2 linked regions of the Oreochromis niloticus genome follow. The protein of the gene in region 1 purifies or fractionates together with the protein of each later gene. This does not show direct contact. Links are inferred from orthologs where the notes say so. Each region holds a gene or a part of one and is shown in the gene's direction. Other genes may lie near its edges.

What was found.
Region 2: the proteins of relb (region 1) and nfkbie purify together in Homo sapiens (affinity purification with mass spectrometry; 3 studies listed by BioGRID and IntAct, counting the BioPlex papers as one, with this or other methods). This does not show direct contact. The link is inferred for Oreochromis niloticus from reciprocal best matches to the Homo sapiens genes RELB and NFKBIE.

The regions. Positions count from the first base shown.
Region 1 is NC_031979.2:23,749,488-23,765,430, forward strand, and holds the start of relb (transcription factor RelB), read left to right. Parts: upstream 1-8,044; 5' UTR 8,045-8,819; coding exon 8,820-8,853; intron 8,854-8,946; coding exon 8,947-9,021; intron 9,022-9,768; coding exon 9,769-9,950; intron 9,951-11,271; exon of another isoform or gene 11,272-11,550; intron 11,551-13,243; coding exon 13,244-13,519; intron 13,520-14,286; coding exon 14,287-14,453; intron 14,454-14,551; coding exon 14,552-14,643; intron 14,644-14,763; coding exon 14,764-14,895; intron 14,896-15,029; coding exon 15,030-15,134; intron 15,135-15,943.
Region 2 is NC_031980.2:14,163,262-14,179,006, forward strand, and holds the start of nfkbie (NF-kappa-B inhibitor epsilon), read left to right. Parts: upstream 1-7,596; 5' UTR 7,597-8,132; coding exon 8,133-8,455; intron 8,456-11,562; coding exon 11,563-11,665; intron 11,666-13,023; coding exon 13,024-13,234; intron 13,235-13,556; coding exon 13,557-13,645; intron 13,646-14,388; coding exon 14,389-14,637; intron 14,638-15,393; coding exon 15,394-15,462; 3' UTR 15,463-15,745. Other genes in the region: tmem151ba (transmembrane protein 151B), read right to left, coding at 1,667-1,756. UniProt on the Homo sapiens protein: Sequesters NF-kappa-B transcription factor complexes in the cytoplasm, thereby inhibiting their activity. Sequestered complexes include NFKB1-RELA (p50-p65) and NFKB1-REL (p50-c-Rel) complexes.

The DNA.
Region 1 (15,943 bases):
ACAAGTTGTGCTTTCATCTCTGGTGTCCAGATCACACGCTGCACTGCCGTGCCGCTCCGTCTTTTCACGTTCAGTTCTGTGTTTGCGCGTGCGCAGTGTGAGAGGCTGCGTTGACACCCTCACAACGGCCGACAGGATTTCAAAGAAGTTTGATTTTCTTACGACCAAACGATTGATGGTCGTGAGGTGTTAATTGCTTCTCGTTACCCCATGTATACTACACGATGCACGACACACGATTAAGGCGAAACTTGGCCCGATCCCCAAAACGGTCGAACAACTGAAAAATCGTCTCAAAAAGGGCCAAAAATCGCCCAGCGCCCAGCATAAGTGACATATTGGTCTCAATTCAATCCATCCATTCGCTTCCGCTTATCCTTTTCAGGGTCGCGGGGGGCGCTGGAGCCTATCCCAGCTATCATAGGGCGAGAGGCGGGGTACACCCTGGACAGGTCGCCAGTCTGTCGCAGGGCTAACACACAAGGACAGACAACCATTGACACTCACATTCACACCTAGTGACAATTTGGATTATCCAATTAACCTATCCCCACAAGTCTCAATTCAATTCAGTTTTATTTATTTAGCACTAAAAAAGTCTGATTGGGGCTCGTTTCTCACTGGACCAAACTGTGTCCTCTCCTGCAGATGTGGTGTTCTTCATCTACCTTTACCAGCGCTGGATCTATCGAGTCGATCCCAATAGGGTCAATGAGTTTGGTACCAGCGGAGTAGACCACGCCCAGAACACAGCAGCCCCTGCGCAAGATGCCGCCTCCGCTGCAATCACAGACAAACCAGAGGGGGAGAAGAAGAATGATTAATCTTCCTCCCCGGCTCTCACTGCTGGAGTGAAGAGGACTTGTGGAAAGTGGGCATGGAGAGTGGAGTTGTTGTTCAGCTGTCATGGATGCCGCTACCAAAATAAAATGCAGTTCAGCTGTTCCCTCTGGTTTCTTTGTGGATGCACAGAGAGTCATATTCAGTGTAGACTTGGTAAATTCTTATTTCTGCTCCCACCCATCCCTGCCCTCTGTTTCGCAGTTCAACTGAAGTAAAACAAAACGTGATGTACTGTATTCTGTATGATTTGTATGATTTTATATGTATGATTCTTCTTTTTTTTCACTTCAGAGGGTAACGGTGTCTGGAAGTAGATGTTGGGAGGGGAACAGGTCGCAGTTATGCTAATTTTATTATTTTTATACAGAGGAAAAAGAGGCCAAGTGCAGCTTTTGTTCTTTGTGTAGATTCCTTTTCATTCCATGTGAGCACTCTGTTTCGGCTTGGCCGGAAACGGGTGAGTAGTACAGGAAACTGGAAAGATCCTGAGCCACCATGGAGGTTGGTGAAGAAGCGAGGTGGTGACTGGATGACCGTGCAGGACGTTACCCACGAGATGACGACTACTACCCTGAATTTTAAACAAATAGTTAATGTTCTAAACTTGAACATAAAAATAACAGCCTTGTTGGTATTAATATAAATATATTAATATTGTCCAATGACTTAATTTTTGTTTTTCAGTCACTGATGCATTCTTTTGTATTTTCCTCAAACTGTACAGCCTCATGTTAATAATACCGATGTCAAACTGTTTAGCAATAGGTAATTTGCAAATCTCATTTTTATTATTTTTGATACCTTTTAAATATTTGTTTTGGGCTTTAGGACAAGATTTTTGCATGACACTTCATTTTGCACATTAATTTCTATTGCTGTTACAGAAAATACAGTTTGTGCTAACATCGCAACAACACTACTGAACTCTTTCATCTTTGTGTTAGGAGTTGAGTCCAATTTTCAGCCAGTAACTCTTTGTGTCTGTGCTGTCCAAGAACAGCCATCATAACATCCAGAACTCAAGGTCACAGATTGGAGTTGAGGACACACAAGTAGAGCTGGGTGTCGTCACTGATTTTTATAACTGATTTGATTGAGATTTACAAGGTCTTGATTAGATTTGATTGAACTTTGACTCAGACAGTGAGTGCTGAGGATAAAACACAGGAAAACATGAGATTTTCCTGGCCTGGCTTTTATAGCAGATAACCCCCTTAAAAATATTCTACAATAGATTAAAAACTAAAAAAAAAAAGCATTAATAAACATATGAACATTGCCTGATGCTGCTGCAGTAAAGCAGAGCACAGCCACAGAGGTTTTATTAGAGACGCTTTGTAATTTGGAGTTTGAATTTCTTTGGTATTGAACAGCAAAAATGAGATTTTCTTGTCAGAGGTCATTTTTAAAAAACAAAAAACCAAACAGCGGGTGACAGCACTGTACACATGGTAGACTGATGCGTAATAAGCAAGCAAATAATGCAGAAAATAGAGATTTTTGATGGTAAACTGGTCCTGAAGTACACTGAGAGAGAGAGAGAGCTGTACAGGAAGAGCAATTTTATGGTGGTGGAAGCAAAACCAAGAGTAAGAGAATCTGTGACAATGTTTTTAAACGTGAAGCATGTTTCACGTTTGACCCTTCGTCTACGAGTCATTGGGTGAATGGGGATGATCTGTGCTTTGTGTGTACATCTTTGTGCGAAATCTGCTTACCTGCTATTTAATCATTTGCTGTTTTAGCTGTTTGCCGGAAATAGTTTCATGAGCTTTAACCAGAGATTCTGGTGTTTTTTGGCAAAATACATGTATATTTCAAAATTGATTCAGGCTTTAATTCATCGATATTGCATTATTCAAGCTAAAATCAATTTGAATCAGGAAATCGATTTTTATAAACCCACCCCTAGAAAGAAAGTCTTGAGCTGCCCTTCATTTCTTCACACATTTGTTTCTCCTCAACTTTTTTCAGTTTCCTTAGATTTGTAGATTTGGCTAAAGAAATGAAACTAATTGTGTTTTTGTGACAGGCTGCTAGTAACAATGTGCACAAAGACACAATTTGAAACTGGTTGTTTGCTAAGCTGTTATGTGTAGACACAGCACTGGTTCATCCTTGAGTTAGTTTATGCTTACTAGAGTAGGTCATTGGTCAGGTATGGTCAAGGACTGGGCTAAAAATAAATGTAAAAGCAGCCAATGTCCAAAGAAAACTTTGAAAGACCTTCAGAAAACCTAAACGACTGTTGCTCAAGAGATTAAAAAAAAAAAAAATTACAAGAAAGTCTGGCTCTTTGGAAGCAAAATGTATAGAAATGAGATGTGGCTCAAGTTTTTTGATTAGAAGTTTAAAAAAAATATTATGATTCAAGAGGGGGAAACCTTAAAGTGATAAACATATAATTATAAAATAGTGCTAATTATAGACTGTTCTATATTGAGTCATTAGTTGCTGTGGGTTGATATTTTGGAGTCTAGCCTCACGGGGGTGGCCAGTACACTGAAAATAAAAAAGGGAAGTCTTAAAATTATGCGACAAGAATACTTCAGAGGGAAACTAGGTGTAGAAAGGCTAACAGATTAACAGTAAAAAAGGGTACCAAATCATTTGCATAGTTTAAAGACTTAATAGTTCTGTGGATTTAGGCTTTCGGTTTCCATATAATCCAAGACCACCTCTGTGACATGTAAAACTGAGGTCATGTTTGGCACATGAGAACTGAAGCAGGTCACAATAACTGCTGCACAAAATATTGGATACAGTAAAACAAATTTACACTAACAAAAGAGACACTCCAAACCTTTCTTTTAACCCTCAGCTAACCTTTTTTTTTTTTTCTAACATCATCTGACCATTTAAATTAGATTCCTGTCAGTTTGGCAGGTGTATGATGTTAGTGTAACCAGTTTCTGCTTCCCCCTCTATAACAGGCCGGCCAAAATTAACTCCTTGACTCTGCGTTTTGTTGTATTTTTAAAGAAGACAAGGAGTCTCTGGTTTGTCTTGATGCATGCTCAGTCATCCAGGTAAGCAAATCGCAGAAGTTTGATTCTTTTCATCTGGACGTTTTCAGTGGGAGAAAAGTTGCGTCACTCATCAAAGTGGCTTCTTCAGTCTCAGCTGACTGCAGGTTTCCCCAATCTTATAAATAGTACATTTGCATAATAACTGAAACCAGCCGACTGAATGAACAATGGGCTGGGATGTCAGTTTTTTGATCATTAGTATGCAAATTGTGATGTTCATTGCTCAACAAACACTGATCAAAGACCACTGATCAATGGCCATGAGTACCATTCACAGAGAGTTGGGGAATGGCTCCATTGTAAGATGATTCATAGATGTTTTTTCCCTTTTCACGTAAATGGCCTCCTTGACTCCACGCTCAAACCAGCGTTCCTCCCTGTCCAGGATGTGTACATCCTCATCATTGAAAGAGTGTCCCTGGCCTGTAGGTGTAAATAGACTGCAGAGTCCTGGCCTGACGAGGTGGCTCTTCTGTGTTGTGCCATCCGTTTCACCAGAGGTTGTTTGGTTTCACCGATGTATAAATCCTGGCAATCCTCCTGGCACTTAACAGCGTACACTATATTACTTGTGTCGGGGGACCCGATCCTTGGGGTGGAACAATTTTTGGCACAGCATGTTTTGGGGTTTGAAAGCCACAGAGACGCTGTGTTTAGAAAAATGCGTCTCAACTGTTCCGATACTCCTGACACATACGGGATCACTACAGGTTTTCGCTTAGGCAGCAGTTGTCCTTCTCTCCTGGATGAACTGGAGCTTTCTTTAGGTGACTTCCCAGCTTTGACAAATGTCCAGCTAGGATAACCACATTTACTCAGGGCCTTCTTGATGTGATGTTCTTCTGCTTCCCTGGCTGCTGTGTCTATGGGGATGGTGTTCGTTCTATGTTGTGGCGTCCTGATGACACCCAGTTTGTGCACCACTGGATGCATATTAATGATCAAGGACCTGACCTCACAACTCACTGTTCATTCAGTGGGCTAGTTTCAGTTATTGTGCAAATGTACTGTTTATAAGGTTGGGGAAACTTGCAGTCAGCAGGGGTCATTAGCTCCCCGGTCAGTGTTTTGGAAAGCCGTAGATGCAGAAGTAGTTATGCCAGAGTTTGTGCGCTACTGCCTTAGCAGACTGATTAGGGCTGATTAGAAAGGCCTGAGCCATCTTTGGAAAGTGGTTTATGACCACAAACACATCCACTGATTTGTTTGCTGAATCCTCCCAAAATACTTTAGCGCCGTTCCTTGTTGGCCCTGGTGACCTGCTTCATCATGGGCACCTTTCAGTACAGCAGGATGCACGGTTGGCGGAACAACATACAGGTAGGTCTTAGAGACTCGATACAGTAAACTATTTCTTACGGTCAACTTGTCCCAAGCCTTTAGGAGTCTCCTTGTATCGGTCGCTTCTTTGGCCCACTCTCTCCTTGATGGTCTCTGCCCCCTTTCCACATAGAGGATCACTCTGCACAGCACATCATCATGTGTCTCACTAGGTCATCTTGTAAAAAGGATTCAGAGTCAGACCAGTTCGGTGTAAGCACAGTTTGAGAGAGGCAGGAGAAGAGCATGTGGCCACACTCTTGACTTGTGTTTACTATGGCCCTGGAGGACAGCTCCCACCTCAGCCTATGCAACAGCTGTGTTTATCAGATTTTTATTAGTCAGTTCTTCAGCATTCAGGGTCTTACTGTGGTCCTCTCCTAAATCTCCCTCTTCCCTCTGGTGATTAACCAGATGCATTATAAGGTTGCTGCCCAGAATAAGGTCCTCACTCTGCCCTGCAACCACCATCATTGGCAGAACAACTTTACACCCATACACCTCAATGGTAATGTCCCACACACCTGTTGGAACTGTCCTTGAACCACCACAACCAATCAGGACGACATCAGTGGGTTGGAAGGTCGAGGTCTCCAACGCTACAGGACGTAAAAATTGGGGCATTACATTGATGCTGAGGATGCAGGCCATGGAGCCACCGTCAAGCATCGCTTTAGCTGACAGTTCGCCACCTAGGGTGACGTTTTCATTGAGCAGTTCATCATTCTGTTTTAGTCTGTGTGTGTTCTGAAATATGGGTCATATTGGGACTCACCTACTGTCGCTAAAAACTAAAAGGCAGTGGCTGCACTAAGCTGAGAGGCACACTTCTGATCTTTGCCATGCTCCAGCAACTTCTCGTACACATCAGCAACTGTCCACCGCTGCAAGGACTTGCACTTGAAAATAGGAGACAGTTCTGAGTCCGGGGAGTGACGGTTAAACATAGCAGTCAGCTCTTTTGTCAGATATGCAAAGGACTTAATTTGTCTTTTAAGGCAGTCTTCTGTCACCTCCATAGCGCTGTTCAACCTGAGCCAGTAATCAACAGGCTTTTCACCTAAGTTGGATAATGTTGCATAAAAATCTGCTAAAGGCATGCTTGAACCGGCAGTGTTAATGAAGTGCTGCTTTTAGATCTCAAAAATGGGCTCTGGGCCCCCCTCATGACATACAGATGGCTTACTACGTATGCCCACCCTGATTATCTCTCATACCCTCCCTGCAAGTTTACTTGGCACTTCATCAGCTTGTTCTGCTACTGGTATCCCTTTTCTTTTTAAAAAGGCCATCATCATTTTCCCCATTCCCAAACACTGCATGTGTCACAGCCATCCCCTCTAAAACACACAGGTTCTTTGACATCAGATTTTGCAACCACATTCAGTACTGAGGGCTCTGAGAGCAAAGACCCAACAACAGTGTTTCCCAGTCCATAGCACAAGCAAAACTAAAAGAAACTGTCCCTCTCCCCCCTACCAAAAGTGGGAAAATCTGTCATGCTTTAGCAGATTTTTGTTGTTGTTTTGATTATCGAAAACAGTACATTTAAAGGGGGAAAGAAAATAGTTGACTCTGAGTTCAAAATGTGAAAGAAAACATCTCAAATGGAATATACAGCAAAACCTCAAACACACACTACCTCCCAAAAAATACAAGAGCACAGCTAAATAGACCTTAATAAAAATGCATAGCAAAGGACCACTACATTGAATCACTGCAGAGTAGTAAACAGCTCTTTTGTTGAAGATAAAACGTGTTTATCCCCCCCCCCCCTTCTTTTTCTCCTTCCCAAAGTGTAGGAGCCATTTTTGGGTTAATACCTTATGTTGCCGCTAGAGGTCACCTTTTTTAGTTTCTGTATGGTAGGTTTATGTCAACAGTTTGTGACCGCTGCGCTGTTATGTTAAAATGATATTGGAATAAAGACCAAAAGGACAAGATAAGTACTGCTGGAGTTATTGGACTGTTTAATTAATTCATGCATACCAGTGACATCACGTCACCCCCGTTAACAAACACCTCTGAGGCTTCAAGCATAGGCGTAGCCTCTACACAAAGAGAAAGTACACAATCCCACCTCAATGTCCGAAAGAAAACAGAAAATGGCGGGACTAAGAGAAACCAGTCTCCCGCGGTTTTCCGCACAGTCCACCTTCCAGGAAATAGACAGGCCATTGTATATTTATTTCCTCTCATGTAGCTTTAACAAACTGGCAGTGATTACATACTTACATACTTATTACATATACTTTTTACAGTCATTGTGCACCAGGAGGGAGGGCGCTGTTTCCCCATTGCACTGACATTTGAGGCAAGTGGAAACACTGTTAGGAACACACCAGTGACAGGTGTAGGTGATGCTTGGTGTCATGAAACACTGATGGTCTACTTTTGACTCAAGTAAAGACATGTGGCCTCCAGTAAATGCTGTGTGCCCATAAAGTTTTAGCTTTTTAAAATAAATATATATATATATATATATATATATATATATATATATATATGTATATATATATATTTATTAAATTTTGTGGATATTCTTCTGTTGCCTTCAAAAGGAGGACTGAGGACTCGCAGATCATCCTCTGGTTGCAGAGCTCAGGCTGAAGCGTGTCGGTCATGCCTGCAGCTAGGTTGCAGCTGGCTTGCTTAATTTTTGTTTTTTAATCTGCTCCCTGCTGAGTCACTGCTTCCCCTAAAAGGCCCCGCTTTCGATTTCCATTTCCTTTAAATCGTCTGTCTTCTGGGCGACCAGCAGGTGTCGCTGCTGCGCTTCGTAATTTTTCAGCAGTTTGTCAAGAGTTTTTAAGTTGAGACGAGAAGAGGCGCCGTTTCTAATGGGAGGGGTTTTTTGTTTTTGTCTTTTTGAAATTGTAACTTTTACTTTGCACTTATGAAATTCCCACTTCTCCCTGATTGGAGGAACCGGGAGAAGCGTGATAAAGACATGATGTAACCAGGAGAAATGCCTCAGAGGGCGTGTGGCTGAGAAAGAGCTGGCTTTTTGACTTCTTTGTGCTAAAAATAGGTGCATGAGCTCTGGGATAGAGGCTCATTTGAATAGTTAAAAACTGATTTGCATATGCACTGAAGCCGATATGAAAACAAGACGAGCCGCCGATACGTGCGATCAGTTTACATACATAATAAGCGGGGAAATCGGCTTTTAAGGGTAAAGGACCTATTCTGGCCTCATTATGATGCATTATGCAAATCAATAAAGCGGCAAGGGTTTGATTAAAAGCTCGGTTCGCGCTGTCGCGGGGGGGGTTTTCCCGTCTGTGAGGTGACGTTACGCGCAGAGGGGGATTTCCACGCGGTCCAGCAGCCAATCAGCGCGAAGCTTGTCCGAAACACAAAAGCGGAGATGACTTCGTGTAAGATATTTCGACACATGGCTTCGAGACGGTTTGACACTTTCCCCGGGATCAGACAGAAGCTGTGAGCCGCTGTGCAGTCTAACAGGTGGTTTAAGGAGCTGTTTCAGAGTTCAGGACGAAGGTTTGGGCCGAGACGGAAAAAGACCCAGAGTCATCCGGTTTGGAGACGACTCAAGGAAGGATTCAAGGACACGACGGTGGAGTTTAAGGTCCTAAAGGTGGTCTTAAAGACTGGACGCATGCCATGATAGACATGGACATGGTCAACGGTACCTCTGGTGGGTGGTTGTCTTTTGTAAACCTGTTGAATCTTTGCGTGTGTTTGTGCGTAAAAGCGCTGACATCATCCTGAGGCATGTGATTTTTCACAGCAGAGGAGACAACACCCCTTCCCGGGATTGACCCGCAGGACGACAATTGTTCGAGCCTCGACTCTCTAGATTTCGGTGAGTGGTGGGTCTTTTTTGTTTTGTTTTATTTTGTTTTGTTTTGGCTCTGCGTGCATGTGCCGGAAGCAGGGAGGAATTACGGTGACCTGAGATGACCTCTGGCAGGAGGCGTAAACCATCATCAGAGTTCCTGCTTGTTTAATCTTAGGTTGTCTTATTTCCGATGTCAGAAAGGGAGAACTCAACATTTGGGACATTAAATTAAACATGAAAAAAGTCACAACAGCTGATTTCTCTTATTTAACATTGAAAACTGTGCTGCAGATGCTAGCTTTGTTTAATGCTTCATGCTTTCTGACAAAGTGTCAGACATGACAGACCACAACCACTGGTCCCCAAAGACAGGTATATTTACCTGCAGGTAACCACTGCTCTAGATTCACTTTCACTGGTTAAACTGAGGCTGACTACAGGGCAGGAGGCCTGTTTTTTTATTGGTGCAGTGCTGAAACAACGTGCCACAGATTCATGCACCAGTGACAAAAACAAAACAGAGGAAACGGTTCATGTGAGGTGGTAACCACTCAGATTCTGACACACTGTGTCTTGTGACACGTTGCCACGTCTTAAAATAGATTGCAGTAATATACTACTAGGTTTGGAAGATGTTAATGGAAGTGTTTCTGCTTTCTAATCCAAAAACATAAAGAAACAGAGTAGCTGCTGCCCTAAACCAGTGTCAGATTTTTACAACATTTGCACTTTCACTTTGGATTCACCATCAGTTTGTATTCATTCACACAGACCTGATTCAAGAATATATCGCAGAAAGTGAGCAGGTAGCACCCACCCCATCTGGACTACCTGGACCACCTCCTCCACCTACTGGCCTCCCCTGCCCCACAAACCAAACCCCACCAAACCCCATCCACAAACCAACGCAGATATCCAAGCCGGTGCTGGTTGCAAGAGGCACCTTGTCTAAGGTGGGTGTTTTGCTTTTGGGGTTTTTTTTGTTTTTTTTAGGTGGTGTCACGCAGGGTGTTGATTTTTCTGGTTTCCTGCTCTTTTTGCAGTTTCGTACGTTACCCAGAAAGACTGCTGGCAACACCCAAGGGTGCCAAGCAGAGAGGTGTTTGTATCAGCTGTGGGCTGTGAAAGTTGCCAGTCTGGGGTGAATAGGGGCATACTTTTTACAGATCCTGGCAAAATTTGTGCTCATTACTTCAATACAGGGTCTATTTAACTAGATCAAGTCATAATTAATATACCTGATACTTAATTTGTATAAAAACCAGAGAAATAAATGTCAGTACATGCACCTATTTTGTAAATATTCAATCACTTTGGCTGATATGACTGTATAACAGGTAGGAAACTGGAGTCTAGGCTGTCTGGAGAAAGGTTATGACTAATAAACAATGATAACAATAATGATGGTATTCTTATTTTTAGCCTTTTCTTATCTTAGCTGGGCAACATAAACATTAAAACAGTTAATGGATTCAGCTAAAACTTAAAACATTTTATTTATGAGAAGAAACTGTTAAAAATGTATCTGCTTGTGGCTCCTCTGAATGGTTTTTTTTTTTAGGTTTTCTTCTTATCATTTGTTTGTGCAAAGCACTCACACAGATGGGCAGGTTGTTGTGCTCTTCCCTCGGTTTATTATTAGCAACAGTAGTTTTATTTCCCATATTGTCTTTGTGCTATTATTGAAAGGCGGTTGATATAAAACACGTTCAGAGGAAGCGTCTGTTCCTCCTCGGGGGTGGCTGCAGCTCTCATAATGAGGCTGTTGTGAGGATTGAATGTTGGTGGTATGAAGTGCTGCATGATTCATGTGCAGCCTGCAGACGGTTGGCTTTTTTGCTGTGTGGCACAGTGCAGCCGTTAGGCAACTTGGCAGGTCCGGCTTCTACCAGAAAGCACGTGGTTTACAGGCAGCGGGAAGCTCAGAAAGGCTGTAATCTGATGAGGCACTGTAGTGGCCGCACAGATGGGTAATAATGAAGGGTGCTGGAAGTTTAGCCTTCTCTTAGTGAATGAGCTGCACAGGTTATGTTGCTGGGTTTGAAGAGGTTTTGCAGCTTGTGAGAGAGTGTGGCACACCTCTTTGTGCTTTTTTTGTTGTTGTTATAGAGGAGGTGGGCTTGGGGAGTGGGGAGGACATTTTGGAAGAGCTGTAATCTGACTCCTGCTTTCAATTTGCCATCCTTTCTGTTTACAAGCCAAACCCACCGGAGGCGAAAGGTTGCATTTTTCACCCCCGTGTCAGTGCTGTGATTGGCTGAAGGGTGTAAGGCTGAGCTGACTTCCTATTTCCGTTTGCTGGCTCGGTGTAGCAGGCTTTTGTTGAAAGGTCCAGTCCTTTTTTTTTTCTTTTCTTTTTTTGGGGAGGGGGCTAACACGATTGCAGGGGTGCATACAAACACTTTGACCAAAGACGTCTGGGGATCGACAGGATATTATGAAACATGATCTCATGCAGAGGTATCACCCACATCTCTGCAGCGATGGTTTAATGATTCACAGCAACACGTCTGACAAAGGAGGCGACTTCTTTACTACTTTTCTTACCTGCAGGTTTGATCATTATCATTCTTATCATCTGTTTTTTTTTAGATTAGCTACAACAGATAGACTGCAGTGAGTCAGGTGAAACTTGATTTGTGATAACTTTGGGTTCACGGTGATGTAAGAGAAAGCAATCAGGCGCCTCGATGGGCAGAAACAAATGAGCGAGGATGGAGGAAGAGCACTGCAGAGAAAGAGAGAGAAACTAAAAGCAGCAAAGACAAAAAAGAGATGTGAAGTCTTGAGTGGGAGCGGAAAAAGCTCGGTGGTCTGCGGTGTAACGGAAAAAATAAGACATCATATGCAAGAGGAGGCGTCGCAGAGCACGAGGTTAACTCTGCTCACTGATAGAAAGCACATGTATGGACAGAAAACAAAAAGAAACACACGCCATGAGTCAGTTCTTTCACTGCATGCTTCATCTGTAGTGTCATCACTGCTCAGGAGACATGAGGTTGTTTTTCTTCATTAAAACTACGAAGATATCGAGGGGGGAAAAAGCTCTTTCAGCAGTAAAACCGCAAAACTGTGTAACATCATTAGACTGTTAATACAGACACACTGGTGTGTAAAAAGTACCATTGTAGTATTTTAGCTTGTCAAGGTGGAGCTACTTTCAGCTGCTTTATATAGAGTGACTTAGTTTAACATATTCTCTCATTATATTTTTTTAAATAGTGAAATACTGAAACATCACACTTGTTTTTAAATTAGATAACCTAGAAGTTTGGAAGGGAAACATTTTATTAAAAGGATTTTATGAAGTTGTGCTTTGAAAGTGAGTGAATCATTGCTTCGAAACTGTGGATATTCTTAAAGGTTGTGACTGGTTGCAAATGTCCGTGTATTTGACTTGGTGACTTCATCTCCTTTACGCATCGAGATGGAAATCTGGTGAGTGAATTATGACTGTCAGCTCAGGTTTTTACTCCTCAGCCGTAAAAGGCTGATCATGTATTGTCGTCACCTCACCGAGGCCGATGACGTGGGCACCTAAGTTTGCGATAACTTAAGGACAAGATGACGTAGGATTTTGTAATTGATACCACAGGTGCATCTGCTGTGAGTCTGACGGGTAGCAGTTACCAGTACTTTTATTTTATTGCAGAAGTTCAGTTTTTCTTCTTGGAAGAGTGTTGAGAAAGGTCAATAGTTGATGATCGGAAATCTAAAGACATAGTTCAACTGGAGAGACGTTTCGTGCTGTCAGCAAACTGACTCACTGCATTTGGACATCCAAAGCAAGAAAACTTCTGAGTGTAAATTAAGTTTTCGTGAGAAATATGAAGTCGAGTCATGTGATTTTTAACTTTCCTGCTAAAACAGATCAAATAGGAAAAAACACTGTGGGGGCGTGAGGTAAGACCAGAGCAGAAATAAAAAGCACAGAGATCACAAACATGATGAAGAAATGGTTAAAACATAAAATAAACCAGTGGGGAAAAAAGTATTGTTTCTTCTTTCAGATGTTTTGTGGATTTGCTTTGAAGCCTTTCTAGTACAGAAATTATCTTTACTCATTAGATCAGGTTATAAAAGACTCATCTGATGTGCATCACCAGCCTTTAGGGACAGTCGTGAGGCTTGGTTGGTTGTTGTCTGCATCTTTTTATGCTGCCTTTTCTGCCAGAAGTTTCTAGTGCAAGGTAAATATGTTTAAGTCAATTGCTTAAAATTGCTTTTTCTTGTCCCCCCCCATCAGCCAGTCCTCCCTGTCATGGATATGGCATCGACTCATCCTTCCTCTGGGCGAGGGTCCTCGTGTTTGCTGAACCCGAAGAACTCCAGCATCCCGTCCTCTCAGAACCGGGGCGACACGGACATTCTGGAGCGTGTTCTGGACAAGCCCAAGCTCGTGATAGTGGAAGAGCCCAAAGACAGAGGCATGAGGTTTCGCTATGAATGTGAAGGACGCTCGGCGGGCAGCATCCTGGGGGCATCCAGCACCCACAGTGAAAAGACCCTGCCTACAATAGAGGTAGAAGTTTTCATTTCAGAAGGGGAGTTTACAAGATCTCAGAGGCAGTTAGGCACTTTTAACCACAGCTGATCCTGTTTACTCTGTTCACTTGACCCCTCCTGTCTGAAATGGGTGGAGACAGAAAAAAATGTGGTTTGTCTGAATCAATTAGAAAGTCCCCACAAATCCCAGCTCAAGTGCAGTTAGATACAAGGAGGTATATCCCCGAGCTGCTTACTAAAGAAACACTCCCACACACATCTACACACCACGATCATTCACACTTTGACTTGCTGGTTACCAGGTTATATAAAGTTTAGTCAAGGAAATGTCCGGTTGCGTAATGGATATTAATAGAATTGAACAATGGTGTTAATGTGTCATTATTTTTGGATGAAACTGGCAACTGAGAGGACTTGGTTTTGTTTTTATTTTAATGCACCAGGAAATCTGTATTGACCTTCTAGAAACTATTGTTAAAAGTCTGACAGGTGCCCCAGATAAATGTCTGCGGGGGAAACAGACCCAAAAAAGCCTGGAGCAACAGGTAGAGAAGGTTAATCGGCTTTTATTTCAACTTTTTTCAAGCCAAGTTTCTCAGATGTCAGGGTTATCTGCTTTAGTCTGGCATATTACAACAGCTTTGGTCTGTCGGTCAGGGAAAAAATGAAGAACTTTAGACAACTTTTTCTGTGTTTTCTATCAAGAAAATCACATTAATAGGCATCGCAGCTCTGAATTTATTCTGGATTTTTCTATAAATCTTGTTCTTTTCTTTCTTTCAGATTCAGGGTTCCATCGACGGCTTAAAGAGGGTCAACGTCACAGTTTCCTTGGTGACCAAAGACCTCCCACACCGGCCTCACCCCCACTGCCTCGTGGGTAAAGACTGTCCAAATGGTACAGGGATCTGTTTTGTCACATTCAACCCTCGCAACAACCGACGTCACAGGTGAGCATTCGCCTTCGTTCCCTCCCATTTTGAGAATTTAAATTTGGTGGTGTGTCTTTACATTTTATTTGAATAGTTCCCCTCATTTTTACACCCAGCTTCGCTAACCTCGGTATTCAGTGTGTGAGGCGGAAAGAGCTGGACATTTCACTTCAGAAGCGAAGAAGCCTAAATATCGACCCATTTCAGAGTGAGTGGGAGACGTATGCCAACACGCTGCACCTTAATGTTCAAGTTGCTCTTCATTCACATATATAAAGGCAGTTTTTTCTGTCCTCACTGACTTATTTTGTCTCTTTTCTCCCCTCAGCCGGGCATTCGAAGGGTATTGAAGACATGGACATGAATTCAGTGCGTCTGTGCTTTCAGTGCGAGCTCGAGTGGCAGGACGGCAGGAAAGACCATCTCAGCCCGGTGGTTTCGAAGCCCATTTATGACAAGAGTAAGACATAACCACACAAACACACTGAAAAGCCTTGACCACAGTTTCAACCAAGCGCGCCAAAAATAAGGCAGCGTACTTCCCTATTCTCACGATTTGTCATGCATGTTTTTTGTTTTTTGTTTTAATTCCAGAGGCAACAACTACATCACAGCTGAAGATCACCCATTTGAACCTGTATGAAGGTCCCTGCACCGGCAAGACGGAGGTCTACATGTTGTGTGACAAAGTGCAGAAAGGTAACAGGAAAGTTTTTTGAAGTTAGGTTTCAGGAGTAGATTACATAAAACAAGTCCGGTTTCCACTATTCAGAAACGCGACAAAGAGCCTGATTACAATCTAAGTTTACGTGTAGGGCTTCGGAGCTTTAGTTAACTTTTAAATGAGATTTTTGTGATCGTGTTATTTAAAAAAAAAACAACAAAAAAACCCACAGTTTTGTAACTTAAAATAGTAAAAAGAAGCGTGACGAAGGTCAAGAGTCACATTGTGTTTTTCTTGACTAAGAGAAAGCATGTGACAGGGTGCCCAGAAAGGAGGTGCGGTGCTGCATGAGGAAGTCAGGAGGGTTAGAGAGAAGTGTGAGAGCGGTGCATGATATGCATGGGTGCACTGAGACAATAGTGTGTAGTAGGAGTGACAGACTGGTTTAAAGTGAATTTGAGAAGACACAGAGGATTGCCTTTGAGAGCTTCTCAAACTGTCAGATGAGGTCTGACTCTGTGGAATATTATGTTTGCATATGATGTGTCGGTCTACACAGGGAGCTGTGGGGGCTTCCTGTGTAGCGAAAAAGAGTGAAGGTGAGAAAGAGTAAGGTAGAAAATGTGTTTAGGTGAGGTGAGGATGGAGGAGGAGGTGAAGGTGGTTGAGTTTAAATACTTGGGGTCAACCATCCAGAACAAACGGGGTGTGAAAAAGAGGTGAAGAAAAGGGTACTGGGTTGTGACAGAAGGATACCAACATGAAAGTAAAAGTTAAGAAGGCAGCTGAGAGATCAGTTACGTTGCATGAAATGTATGAAAAGACCTGGAAGAAGCTGAGTTTG
Region 2 (15,745 bases), on another chromosome or scaffold:
AGGAGCACAGCCACACAAAACCTGGCAGAGATTCAAAAGTCCCAGGAAGGGGAAGATTATAACTAAATTCATTCAAAAAAAATTTGCATAACAGACCTTGTGCTGGGGCAGGACATCAAACACTTCAGATTAGACTGTAAATGTCTAGATTTTGATCTATAGGTCAACTCTAAACACAACATTTAAAAAAAAGCATCTGCTCTATCACAGCGTTGATTTATTGAACTCGACATGTCAGCTCTGTGCTCTTCGAGTGACAGACGAGCATAAATAATCGATGTTCTTGCATCATAATTAACTTCCCGACCTTGGTCACATGGTCCTCAAGTACACTGCCAACCCAAGGCTACACCCCACAGAGCAAAAGGGATTAACAGTGAAATTCCCCACTGAGATAAACCTCCTGCAGGAGGAGTGCTCGCTCACCAGCATTCTGGCCATGTTCGAAAATTACAATCAATACTACGTGGCACACTTTGTGGCTAGTGTTACATTTTACAGGCTCGAGGTTAATGATGAACAGTCGTACAGCATGAGATATCATTCTGATTATGGGCCTGCAAAGCAAATGCATCCCTGCATGTTACAATCTGATTAAAAATGTGTTAGAAAAACCTTGCGCTGGTCCTAAAATATGAAAGGAGAATCAATTTTTTAATTGTACTGAGTTACATTTATATTTAAGGCAGTTATTGTATGAAACAGCTCTAAAAGTCTTCTGTGTACAGTTGTGTACAGTTAGCTGAAGGCTCTTGTATCATTTTTTAACATTTGGTTTCAGTGTTGTTTTGTATTTAGTGAAAATTCCCTTTCCATGAAAGCAACAACTGAGAATCACTTCAACACACCACCTTATGTGCTTACATCCTAATGTAATTTTACAGTTTGCACTCATAGGAGTCATACACTTTAATATGAAAGTTGCTATGGTTAAAAGGAAAAACAGTTTCAAGAAGGTTCAAATCTGTACAGTCTTCACATTCAGGAGGCTGCTGTGGTGCCTTTAGTGCCTCTCGCAGTCATGGACACTTTCTCTTGACATAATAAGACCAGCTAGGTTATATAAAAAGACTCTCTTGTGTAATGGATATGTAACTTGCCCAGCATGTGTGCATGTAGGGGAAGACTGGAGAAGAAGGAGAGGAATTGGGTGCTATAGTTTAATTCAGGAAAACTGCTGTTGAGTCCTTATGTTTCCAAATCTGTTTTAGTTTTTCCCTTAAGGGAAATTTACAGACATTTTTCCCCCCCTAATACAACATTTCACTTCTCCCCGCCCTAGTAACGTCAACATGTCTTTTAAATGCTGCGTGACTTTCAATATCTTCTGGAAAGATATGAGCAAAATAAGTTTTTGTTTTAACACTTTCGTGTACCTGATTGTACCGTGATAGATTCTTAAACCTAATTTAGGAAGCCTGCCTGGAGGACACACAAAACAGGAGCGTAATCATGGCGTTCACACGCTCGAGTGCGCGCATGGGTTCGTATAATAGGCAAATAGAGCGCTTTAAGTGCTGTGCAAACACTTAAATCATAATCTAAAAAAAAAAAAGCCAAATGATTATTACAGTGAGATTATTACAGTGAGCATGCACAGAGGCAGCCTGTCACTTACACATGCCACACTACTCAAAAGCCTTAATTTACTGCAAACAATTCTTACCTCTTCCCGGGGGCTTTCCGTCTCCTCCTCGGGGACGGTGGTGGTGGCGGTGGCGCTTTCACTTGCCGTTGCAGCCGATGCTGGGGACATGGTAATAACAACAACACAAAGATCGGTGGTGCATGGATCTCCTGATGGGATGGGGGCTTTCCAAAGCAGAGTGAGACATAAACACGCCGCGAACTCCTCCGCGCATCATCCGCAAGAAACCAGTGCAGCAGGAACCCAAACAGAAAGGCTCAAAGGATGCTGCATCCCCAGCCTGTTTCAGGTGGGCACACTTCGCATAGTGTAGCCTACGGGAACGCGGTCATTGTGCCTCCGAAGAAGACTGAGAGGCTGTGACTCTTCTCGCGATGCAATGGTGATGGTGATGAGGACTGCAGCGGCGAGGGATCCAGTGTGATGAGGGAAGTGACAAAGCTCGTCTCCCTGCAGGCAGTGCCCATGACACCCAGTGAAGCTGTGAAGCAGGACAAAGGAGACGGGCAGCGGCACATGCGAGCAGCCAGCCCGACACCACGATGTAAATAACACGCACGTACGTGTCCACGTAACTCACAACAGCACAGAGGGGCGCTGCTGCTGCCGCTGCTGAGGAGGGGGTGGCTCCCCTCAGCAGAGATCTTTATTCTGATCTGTATTTAAGCAAGTGCTTTGAAAAACAGTAATAGTAAAAGCTCACGTAGGGTTTAAATCCGTTATATATATGAAATTAAATAAGTCACCTGTGATGCTCCTCAGATGGTATGATCTTTTGGCTTGTTTGTAAATGTCTTTGTTTCTTTTTGTCAAAGGGTTTAGTTTAGTTTAGTTTATTCACAAATCAATCAAAATACAAATTCCAACATAATAGACAAGATAACCGTTTGTTAAATGGGACTTCCCAAAAGCTAACCACATCTTATGAGTAGGGGCCTAATCATCAGATAATATAATTCAAATATAATTCCCAGGTCACGTTTCCTTTTTTTGCAGCTGTTTTATTTCTGTGGGTTTTTGTTATGTATTGTTTGTGTATATTGGATATTCCCTGGATCTATCCATTTGGCCTTTATATGGGTCAATAAATGTCTCTCCTTTTTTTTAGTCTTCCTATGTGTGCTGCATTTGGGTCCCTCTCTTCCACCCTGGACACGGCCACAGTTTGAAGACATGCTGTACAAGATGAAACATGAGACAGCGTTTGCGATGAAAAGTGTTTTAGTTAGACACTTCGGTCAGACTTTAATAGCTTTTATCCTACAGGAAGCAGCCATTAGAAAATGATTTCACTGTAGTCATAAAGGGATGGACACGATCGGCTACAGGCTGTGGTGTTTAAGTGACGCTCAAGTGTCCCAAAGTGTCCCACGCCATTAGCAGCCTGAACTCTTTATGCAAGGCAGGATAGATCCATGCTTTCATGTTGTTTATGTCAAATTCTGACCTTGTCATCCAAGTGTCGCAGCAGAAATCGAGACTCATCAAAGCAGCCAAAGTTTTCCAGTCTTCTGTTGTCCGGTTTTGTTCAGCCTGTGTGAATTGTACTCTCAGTTTCCTGTTCTAAGCTGACAAGAGTGGGCATCCGGTGTGGTCTTGTGCTGCTGCAGCCCATCTGCTTCGAGGTTCTATGTCCTGTGGATTCAGAGAAGCTCTTCTGCATACTTTGGTTGTAATGAGTGATTATTTGAGTTACTTTTGCCTTCCTGTCAACTCAAAGCAGTCTCCCCATTCTCCTCTGACCTTTGACATCAACAAGGCAGTTTCACCCAGTGAACTGCTGCTCAAAGCATATTTTCTCATTTTCTTCTGTAAATCATAGAGATAGTTGCATGGGAAAATCCCAGCAGTTTCCGAAATACTCACACCAGCGCATCTGGCACTAATGAACATACCATTTTCAAGGTCACTTAATTCATCCTTCTTCCCCATTCTGATACTCAGTTTGAATTTCAGCTGGTCATCTTGACAATGTCAGCATGCCTAAATGCACTGAGTTGCTGCCATGTGATTGGATGATTCCACTTTTCATTTCAAATAAACTTCCTAAAGAACATGTGATGATTCTACAATAAAGTTGTATTTTGAATTCTTAGCAAATTAATCTCATGACTCCACCAAATATAGCTTTCAGACAAAAAGAAAAAGAGTACAAAAGTTCAAGTTTAAGCTGAGATATGGTTTACTTAATGCTGTGAATAAGGAGAAGAGGGCAAAAAGACAGAATTGCCCCAAAGCGTTTGTCATAATTTCATTGTTTTTTGTGAAAGAAGAGACCATAAGAAGACCAAGCAGATAAAACTGAATATTTATCCTTGCTTTTGTTGTGCACAGACCTATTTAAACAAGAACACGTTCCTGTATGATCCTGGAACACCGACCTGTGTTTATCACAGAGCACAGTATGGACATTGGACTGGACTCCTGGCGTAAAGTGGAAAAAGTAAACACAACAGTAGAGGAAAACAGATGGTAACTCTTAACAGCACTAAATGCTTCCCTCTAACAGTCAGCATTGTTTTATGTTGTAGACTGTTTTTATCATGGACCTACCCCCCTCCCCTTAAAGTAGAGCAGCAGCTGTGTAAGTGAGCCCTCTAAAGGCCAGACCACAGGAAGCGTCTTAAAAAAGTAAAAGTAAAAATACAGATGATAAAAAAGGAAAGTTCTGAATATTTTCTTCTGTTTATTTGACTGCATCAGTCACAAAAGCATGCAAAACATCTACAGACTGACACTGTGAGCTGCTGCTGCTGCTACAAACAGGACCCCTCAGCACATACCAGTAGCTGCTCATGTTTAATGTCTCCTCACTTTTAAATACAGCAAAATGAGATTTATATAAACCAAGCTCTGGTTTTGCAGCTTCTTAGAAAAAGGACTAAAGCTCAATGAATAATGATGTGCTTGTGGTTTGTTGTTGCTACCAGTGACAAGCCTGAAAACCGAGACTTCCGCTGTGGACTTTAAAAATAAAAGCCACATGTTTTGAACGGAGTATCACAGTGGGATGCTTGTTGTGTTCTGAATGAGTACATTAATGAGATTTGATACTTCTATCTAAGTCAGACTTAGATCCCATACTTAGATTATCACACTTTACTGTGATTGTGCTCTGAACCACGCTCACCTTTGAACTCCCCCGCTGTTTTGATACCAAATACACATCAATAAGGTTTCATGAGTGCACCTTGCACAGTTCTGAGGGATTGTTTTGACGCAGACAGACTCAGACTGATAAGCTCTTTTATCACACCTACTGAATAGGCCAACGGGTTTATTTATAAAAAAGCATAAATAAACACAAATTATCATCGTGTTGATCTTGTAAATGCACACCAAATGAAGGTTACTTCATATGGCGCCTTTCAAACAAAAATAGTAGAACTTCCTTCCTTTCCATGGGTCAGATGACACCCGTGTCAAACTTTATTTTGATATCTACTGCACACGTGAAGTTTGATGAGTGCATCTTGCACAGATGCTATTGTGGTGATATAATTAGTCCATGTACAGACAAGCATACCTTCCAAAGTATTTGTAGCCTCTGTGGTAAATCGTATTGCACAGGGTGTCACCAGGATTACAAGTTATGAAGATGTGAGGCCTGCATATGCTCCAAAAGGGCTTAAAGGAACATGTCATTGTGTTAGCAAGTTTTAGTTCTGTGGTCAGATTTTGCATACTTGATGGTTTTATTGACAGTTGAGTATTTGTTTTGCTAAAGCAGTTCATTTAATGCTGTTTAAGAAAGTGTGCATGGGCTCATGCATCATTCAGAGGCAGTAATAATCACACAACTCAAGCAGGGAATAATCACATAAACAAGTTGTTTGGTATTTTGATTTTAATGTTTCATTTATTTGGTTATTGTATGTGATGTTGCTGCTTTCAGTAGCCCTGCAGCTGTGGTACACAGTGAAGACTAAGGTTCTCAGAACAACTGAGACTTAAACATCAAAAATTGGAAATGCAAACCAACACAGTTAATTTATTTGATTATATATTTACTGTTTTTTTATTAGCACACTAGACAAGGTTGATTTCATAGCGTGGGGGAGGTATTGTTATTAAGCATTTCGTATATTTCTTATTTTGTGCGTTTGTTGGCCTAAACCTCGTTGAATGTTGGTATGAAAGAAACAGGGGTGTTTCCAGGAATTGTTAATAGGGTGGAACAGGATAGAAGAATAACAGGGCAGGTTGGGTGGAAGACGGGAGGCTGGAAATCAGAATATTTGATCAGAAGTAAATACAATTTGAGGCTGGTGTAGCTCTATGCCCTAATATAAATGATATTACATGAAAGACTCTTTGTGTAAGCGAATATCATATTTCATATTTCTTAGCCTAAAGATGTATTCATGTTAGCCACAAAGTGAAATTTGCACTGGACGATGTGAATAGACACAAATCTGCCTTAAAGGTGTTTCAACTTTGCAAAAACCCATGAGCGGGGATTCTCCTGACACTGCCGACAGTCAGAAGTGAATGATGACTGAAGTCATTTGAGGGAAGCTGGAGTGTAATAGTTCAACTTTGCTTTTAGATAAAGACCGATGGGGAAAAAGGAGAGGGTGTGGGAAAAGCTGCTGATTGTACTCCTCCTTATCCCCTTGGCTGTTGGGGTTTTTCCACTGTGACTGTGCATCGTGGCATCAAAGTGCACTTAATGGAAAATGAAGATTATACAGAATCGTCCTTTCAGAATCATTATCATTTTTTAAAATAATAGTTTTTAGTCGTTTACTCATTGATTTATTAATGTGTTTATCACTTTAATCACCAAATCCCTCCCAAATTACTGAACTTCTTCCGCAATCTCATTCTTTCAGTTACTACCCAGACCTCGTGATTGTAGGTGTCATGATTGTTTATTAATTGACAACTTAATATATAAATATTAGATTAATATTTTAAAATTTGCAAAAAATAAGTAGAGATTTAAAAGTACATTATATAGTATATATAGCAACCAAAAATATAATGAAGTTGAAATACCATAACAGAAATATCTAAATGAAGTGCAAATACATTAAAATGTCATTAAAATACTTGAGTAAATATATTAAGTTACATTAAAAAACAGGTCTTATCTATGTTTAGCACTGTAAGACTAACAAGCAGTCATATTTTTTTTGGGGGGGGGCAGATGTCACCCTATGCCCCCCTCTGGACATGCCCCTGAAAATAAATTCCCGTAAGAGTTAGTTAGAAGCCTGCGAACTATGTTCACTTTTACCATGTCATCCTAATAGAGCACTTTGCTCTCAGACTGCAGGTTTAATTGTGGTTCCAAGGATATTTAAAAGTAGAATGAGAGGCAGAGCCGTCGGGTTTCAGGCTACACTTCTGTGGAACCAGCTCCCAGTTTGGATTCAGGAGACAGACACTCTCTCTACTTTTGGATCAGGTGACCCTGAATCCCCCCTTAGTTATGCTGCTGGGGGCTTCCCATACACTAAGTATTTCTTCTTCACTCATCTTTTTCACTCATTATGTACTCACACACCACTTTGCATTTAATCATTTGTTATTATTAATCTCTGACGCTCTTCCATAGTATGTCTTTTGTTCTGTCTTCCTCCCCTCACTCTCAAAAGATGGCTGCAGATGACTGTCCCTCCATGAGCCTGTTTCTTTCCTTTTAAAGGGGAGTTTTTTAATTCCCAATGTCATCAAGTGCTTGCCCAAGGGGATTGTTTTTATTTTGGGGTTTACCCTGTATTATTGCAGGGTCTTTACCTTACTCTATAAAGCACCATGAGGAGACTGCTGTTGTGATTTGTGGCTATATTATATTAATAAATTAACTTAGGCACAAAAAATGAGAAGACACGAAATGGAAAGTCATCAGTGGGTGATATGTATATAGCGTTAGAGTGTGTGCTTTTATTTTGAAAATCACAAAGTAATTCCGCTCTCACACCCGACTCTCCGGCGTTTCTGCGCGCGCGTGTTCGCGAGTGAACGTACTGTGTGTGTGCGCTCGGTCACGCCACTGGGGATTCCCCCGCGTGACAAAAACAGCTTTGCCTTTCACATGTCAGCTCTTCCCCTTCTCGCCTTTCATTGCTCATATGCTCTCCGCCTGGAGCTCACGCATTTACCGGATATTTAGTCGACGGGCAGTCGTTTGTGTCTTGTTTGACTCGTTTTAAACCCGTTTCACCGACTCGTGAGTGATCTGCCATGTTTTCGAAACTTTTTAAAACGCGTTAAATCGGTAAAAAGTGAACGGCTCTTCCTACACAGAGGGCACAGTCTTGTCGGTTAATGGCATGATACGCAGCGGCTCGTTCCTCTGGTTTCACGAAGACGGTGCGGCGGCTATCACAGGTGTCACCGGGCTGTCCGGTCACATCACCGAGCACCGAGCGGCTACAGCGCCCGCAGGAAGCCTTTAAATCCTCGGGGAAGGCGGGAGGGGGAAACCCAGCGAGGCCACCATCATCATCACCACCATCACCACAGCAGCACTACCATGGCGAGCCATGACTGTACTAAAGAACACTTGCCGGAGGATAACCGCACAGACTCAGGCATTGAGTCGTACCGCTCCATGGTGAAGTCGGAGGAGCCCCGGGGGCCGAGCACTGACCTCAGCGGGCCGAGGGACAAGTTCTCCGGCGGAGAGGAATGGCTGGACTCAGCCTACGGTTCCTCGTCTCTCACGGTAGAGAGCCTGTCGGATATAGTGGGGGGCTGCACGATTTCCAGCAGCAACCAGCAAGTACAGAGCTCTGAACTCTCTGAGCAGGAGCAGGAGGAGAACTTGCTTACAACTATTACAGAGGATGGAGACACGTAGGTTTTTAATTGTTATTCATTTAATTTCCATCAAAAATGAAAAAGTCTTGCTCAGCTTGCTAGAATATTTGCTGAAAGGGATGCTGCTGCACACTGGTGGGTGAATACAAACCTTTTTGCATTTTAACTGTTTCACCAGCTTTTTTGGCACCCGTGATGTTTATCCTTAGTTGATATGGTTGGCAATATCCTACAATGAGTTTGCACAAGCGCTTTATTATTATCATTTCCATTATCTAGTGATTTGTACATTAATGGCACTACATTAGTTTTAATTGGATCACTGCCTGATATGTAGTGGTGGGGATTTATTAGAAAATGTACGATTCAAAATGATTTAAAACAAGAAAAAAAAGTATATTTTTTTATAATTGGTGACCTGTAATTAGAGATTTTTTTGTATATTTGCTCCAAATATTGCACCGAATAATTTAAAGGTTATCAGAATAGTTGCTGGTTTAAATTTGAGCAGGGTAGTAGCTTCTCACTTCTTTTTTTTTTTTTTCTTTTTTTTTTTTAAGTCTGCTGATGAACTTAAAATCCCCATGAATGGCAATTCTACTGCAGCTGAAGTCTGTAAATCACATTAAATTTCAGGCACAGTTTTTCCCATGGCGATACAGGTTTTAAAGGGGATTTCATGAGAGTGTGATACTGCAAACTTTTATAATGAACTTTGTCCTTGTCGCAAATGTGACCGGTCTCCATTGAGTTGTCGACTCTCAGTCAGAAAACAGAAGTGAAACAGATAGGTCTGGACTTCCCCCATGCAGCACAGACAAAGCACATGCTGTGAGGTAGCTGTGTGGCCCGCTTTTGATCCAAGAAACTTGTTGATCAGGACAGGACAGTGTGTACGCATGTTTTCATTCCCTCCATTCACAGGCTTCTTTTTTCCCCCCTTGCTTTTTTTTTTTTTTTTACTTTCTTACCTCTTCCTTCTTCCAGACAGCTAAAAAAAAATCATTTGTGACTGAGCGGCTTTTCGCTGCACTTCATTTCTCAATTTGAGTCAGTGAAACTTTTGCACACAATCTAAACACCTCAACCTCCACACACACACACACACACACACACACACACACACACAACCTTATCAGCCCATGCAGACCTTCTTGTTTCTTATGTGACCCACTCATCTAGAGTTGCAGCGTCATCAACCAGCAGACCGATTTAATGAATCCTGCAGCCACGACCAGCCGGTGTGATCCTGATGTAGTCACATCACACTGCACAAGTGTTGTTGTGTCTCTGACCTCTTTTCATTTCCGCTTGCTGATTGTTGGGGCCACATGGTTTCATTCTCACACCCTAACTATAGATACCTGGTGGAGGGAAAAAAAAAACACCTGAAACACACCACAGTGCATTGCTTCGACTGACAGAATCATGCAAACACCAATTTTCCCCTGTGGGATTTTTTTTTTTTTTTAAGTTCTTATTCATTCAAGTCTTACTCAAACCAGGAAGTCCCTTTCACACAAAGACATTTGCTGACAGGTTTATGTCAGCGCAGCTCCATCAGTCTGCAGACGTAGCTGACATTTAAGCATCACAAATATGTAATGTGGCTTCTCCGTGCAGTATCCTCTCATCTTAACCATTACTGGGGTACTCGAGCGATGGATTAACACTCACCAACAGCTTTGTATTTTTACATTTATTTTCATTTTCTCTACAGTTTTTGGGAATTTTAAATTCCTAGAAATGCACAAGGAACCATACACTTTGTCACCTGCAACCTTCCTAATTTACTCACAGTAAGAAATGCCCCACGTCTGTTTCCTCATTGCTTCTTCTCAAACAGCCCAAAGGTGTTTAATTCAGTGGAAAAAAAGCCAACTTATATGCTTAATCAGTGTTGATAATAGTAAAGTAGTAATACATTTATTGTATTTATGGCAGTAACTACAAGAAATGCTTTTTTTCCTTGTTTTGTGACAAAAATAAGCGTAAAATATTGTCACCTTTTTAAAATAAACCTTATGCAGGTACTTTATCTTTTTTTTTCTTTGTTTCTCGGTGTCAGTAGCTGCAAACAAAATGTTCAGTTGCATGATTAATCCTTATAGATTTCAATAACTGATCACTTTAAAAAAGCAGCTGTATTATTGCTACCGCTACACATTAGTTTTTGAAACACTGATATTTTAAATTTGTGACTAAATAAAACTGAATTCTTTCCCCCCCCCCTTTGGTGTGGGTCTTTTGAAAGAAGTAACCACATTTACCATTTAACAAATCGATAAATGCCATGTTGTTTACTACTTTGTATAATTAGACATGTGGCACTGTAAGTGTTCACAGCTGAGTGTGCAGCGAGACGTCGTGGGAACTTTTGATCCCACTCTGTCTGCGTCTGAAGCAGCCCGCGGCGTCCAGCGTTGGGTTAAATGACATTTACTCTGAAAGCAGAACGTCTCGCTGCTAAACTAACAGAGAAGTAACCGCTGCGGCGAATCGTGCAGCAGTAAAACATCAACGCTTCAAGCCTGTAAGATAAAACCTGATGTCCACAGAATTTGGACTCAGCAGCGATTTTAAAGAACTTTAAGCCTCAAACTTTGATTTTAATCTGTTAAGATCCCTTTTCCAGATGGGGCCCTCGCTGTGTTGCTGTTGAGTCTAAATTAAGCACTAATGCTCAGTTCCATTTCCTGCTTTGCGCACACATTTGTTTGCTAGAACTTCCCACTCTGTTTTTTTTTTTTTTTTGGGTGGCGTGCTTTTTGTTTTGTTTTGTCTTTTGCTGTAAGCATTTAAACTGAGGCCTGTGTGATTATATCTGCTCACAGATGTTAGATTTTTTTTAAACCACCAGCACCTTGCTGTGCTGTCTAGAATTTTTTGTATTGCTCAATACCCCAACGACTCAGTCTTGCCATTCAGCCCACTAAGTGTTACATTTCGAGGTAGTCTCTTGAAATGAATACCGAGGAAAATTGTTAGGCAACATTTGTTGAAATTAACAGCGCTGCTTTTTTTTTTTTTTTTTTTTTTTTGGAGGGGGGTAAGTTGCTCAATTTGAGATAAAGTAGGGCTACAGATTTTTTCAGGCATAACAGTTAAAGTTCATCTTCTCTTTTTCTTTCTCACTCCCGTAGAATCCTGCACTTAGCAATTATCCACGAAATATCATCACTTGCTAAGGACTTGATACAGATATTCCCAAGAGAAGTCCTGGACATCCAAAATAATTTATATCAGGTAGGTGCAACAGGTCCTACAAGTTGCTTCTGCTGGAATTTTCTAATCCACAAATACTTCCTCATCTGCACCTTGATTGTGGAAGCGGTGGCTTTATTTATATCTCTGTACTTCCAGAGAACTCTTGTTCCTCTTTATTTGCAGTCCGTCCTCACTCGGGGACGTCACTGTGGGTGGTTCCAGTGTTAACTCATAAGGGACTTTGAATGGAAACTCCCCTCCTCTACTTCATGTAGAAATAGAACCACAGGGAGCTGTGGAGTGTATCCTTGTGTGGATGTGGGTGGAGGAGTTGTTCCAGTCCTTCAAGAAGTCCGACCAGAGACTTAACTTGAACTTGCAGAACTGTCAAAAGGAAACATGTGAAGTTGAGACTCAGCACTTCATGTAGTGACTCAGTTAGCTCTGTGCTGGGCTCTTTTTGGTTTCCTAATTTCCTCTTAGTAGTCATTCTAAGATTTCACATTTGGACACATTACCAAGAAAAAATTTGTTTGCAACCCAGGGGGTTTAAAATAAAAATGCATCTTTATTTCTGAAGGAAAAGTAAAACAAATGGATTAGAGATTTTTGCCATGTTTCAACATTTGGTCCTGTGAGTGCAAAGTCTCGTGGTAAAATTTTGATAACAAAAAAACTGCAAAACACATCTTCTTTTTTTTTTTTTTTTTTTTTAAAAAGGAGACAGCACTATCATACTGTACACCTACAGCAGTCTCAGTAAACCACAGTGTAGAGTAACCGCATCACTTGTTGTGGATTAAAGATAAAACTCACTTTCTCGGAAAGGGTTTTCTCTTTTCCTCACTTGTACCTGAATGCAGCAGGTACAGGCCTGCGCTCTGGGGATTTTCAAAGGGAACTATTATACTTTTACCTATTTCCTCTCATATTTATACCACTTTAGTAGTGGGTGCTCACATTAAACATGCCAAAAGTTTGGTATAATGAGGTCCGTAATCTCAATGAGCCGAAATTTTAGTGAAGCTTTGGATTACTCTAACGCTCAGAACCATCATTCATGCTAAGCTACTCTATTAGAGTCCAAAAATAATAATGAGGAGTTAGAAATGAGGATAAGAGCATTCTTGGAAATGCAGGGAAGCTGCAGCTGTGAAGGAGAAGTGACAGGGTATAAGGACAACAGCTGAAGAAATATATAAGACCACCATCAACCTGTTATTGTCAGTATGTTTGATGAATCAATGGACAGCTAGTAATTTTTTTGTGTCTTTGCTTAATATCAACTCTACATTTTAGTAGATTATTTAACATCTCAACTTAAATATGAACTTCTGACGTGTTTTTGTTTATTTTAACCAGAGACACGCAGGTAAAGTTTTTGTTTTGTTCCTCAGAGCCCTTTGCACCTCGCCACCTACCTAAACCTGAGCGAGGTGGTGCAGAGTCTGATGGAGAAACAGGTCAGCATAGAGCTGCAGGACCAGGACGGGAACACGGCGCTCCACGTGGCCTGCCAGCACGGACAGTTAGAGTGCGCAACCGAGATGACCAAAGATTTTTCTCCCAGCAAGTTGGCTCCGGTCCTCGAGACCCAGAACTGGAGAGGTGAGGGGAAAACCGTCATGGCTGCTACTAAATCTGTTTATGCGAGTTTTTATGCATTAAAGTCAAAAGGGGTTTTTTTACATTTTAATGTCGAAGAAATATTTAACTAGCTTGTCTTTCCCTGATGTCCTCCTAAAAGACACATGAGGATTTCCTTGGACAGTAGCAGAAGAAATAACACCCACATTTAGCACTGATGTAGAACATGTTTTGTGTTGTATCAATACAGTGTTGGTCTATTTTCTGCTTGAAGTTTGTAAAAACTGTTTGACCTAAAAATGAGCTCCACATTGCAGATTTCAGCCAACATTTGTACTTTCAGGTCTTGGCTGTCTTCACTTGGCTGCACTGAACAGGCAACATGAAATTATGAAGCTTCTGATCAAAAAGGGTGCAGATCTGAATATACAGGTTAGTCTGTGGATCCCCCCCCCATCATATGAGCTGTATTTGTATAATTAGGTTTTGCATAAAGGCGGAATTCACACTAAACAGAAAGCTTTTTTTTTGCACTCGTGTAATTCAGCCTGAAATGATCACAAACAGTGCAGACTTCCACTCATAACACTGAAAAGGAAAAGGTTGAAGGACTGGATGAAGAGTTTGTTTTTGTGGAAGCAAAGCTGCAATCTTTATTTATTTTTTTTCCCCTAATAGGGCTTTCCGTACTTGTTTAATCCAGTCATATGTCTGCATTTATAATCACGTACATCCTGTTTAAACTGTGTTTACCACATTGGGACCTTATGTTGTGTTCCTATGATAAATCAGCTGCACCTGTGCAATGCTGATAGTGATATGAGCTGAGCTCGGGGCTTCCTGCAGGATTCCGTGAGACATAATTAGATTTGAGATATGATTAGGTCAGACTGGCCGGCCGCTCTTAACTTTCTATTGATGGTAGGGAACATGGCAGTCCCGAAACCACCCCAGACATTCCTCTTAGTTTAAATCACTGGCCTAACATATCAGTCTGCCTCACATCCCATGTATTGAATTATTTATTATTCTAATTTGAATTTACTTTGACCTTTTTTCTTACTGATTTCTAGAATTGCAAAAAGAAAACTGTGAAACTGTTTACATTGCAGAATTAATTTCTGCCCTTTTTTGTGGAATTTCTCATCGCTTTTCTCCGTCCGCTCCCCTCGTAGGAAGGAACCAGCGGCAAAACGCCTCTTCACCTCGCCGTGGAGCTGCATGACATCACATCTGTGAAGCTGCTGCTCGGCAGCCGAGCCAATGTGGACGCTGCAATGTTTAATGGCTGCACACCCCTGCATCTTGCGGTGGGGAGACAGGACGCCACCATCGCCACCATCCTCTGTCAGAATGGCGCCGACAAAATGCTGCGAAACATGGAGGACGAGACGGCGTTGGATCTGGCTGACGGCAATGATGATGTAAGCAAATATTAAGGGTTGAAATGCACTGCTGTGCATATTTTAAAGGATAAGACTGTCTTTTATTTTTCACCCATTAAATCCTGTTTAAAAACAAAAAAAACACAAAACAAAACCAGCAATATGTATGTTTTGCAGACTTTCAGTGGTAACTGTGCACTAACTCAACTGCACACTGTTTGGTTTATTATACCTAATCTGTCAAGCCTCCTCCTACTGCCTGACTGAACTCATTCTTCACTTACTCTTTAAGTGGTTTAAAAGTCTGGGGCACTCAACGACCCCCATCAAGTAAGGACGCACATTTTTAAAACAAACATTTAGTGGGGCCATCCCATCTGCAACAGATGTTATAGCCCCTACACAGTTTTGACGTCGACATCATGTCAGGCTGGGTTTACCCTGAACATCACTAAGCTACCAGTTCAGAATAACCTACCAAAGCATACAAGCAGGGGACCTGGTGCTCTTTTAAAAAGCAGAGTAGTCACAGCAGAAGTGGATTTGGTTCATTTGTTTTCATTTATTTTACTCCAGTTTGTATGAAGCTCACAGACAAACACTATTCATGGTTTCAATTTTGACCTCTTGTGCTCTAAATTCTCTGCTTAGTTCTGGGTTTCCTAGAAAGACATTTGGATACGGGATAAGTCATCTGTACAGCAGCGCTTGTTTAAGTGCTGTTCTCTGGTATTTTTTCTAATCATGATTTAAGGATCAGTAAAGTTTGACCTGCTTCTTGTTCTTGTCTTTCAGATTCTGGCTCTATTTCCTTTTGATGACATCCAGATCTCTGGAAGGTCGTTGGTTGGCGTGAAGTTTTGAGCTGAGTTGCGGGCTGAACGACAGTCCTCTAATCGTCTGGAGCCTCGCTGCAGCTCATTTAAAAAAAAAAATTAAAAAACCTATATTTTGAGCTAACATTGTTGATTAGTATACATATGTTTAGACAAGTATGTGCACAGTATAAATCTCACTTTGCTCTGATTAAACAGAGTAGTACCGCTTAATTGAAAGATTTTAAAAGCTTGGTTATTTTGCTTCTTTTCGCATGCCTCTGGAGATGGTTGTACTCAGCTGTAAAACCCCACCTCACTGTGAGTACCAG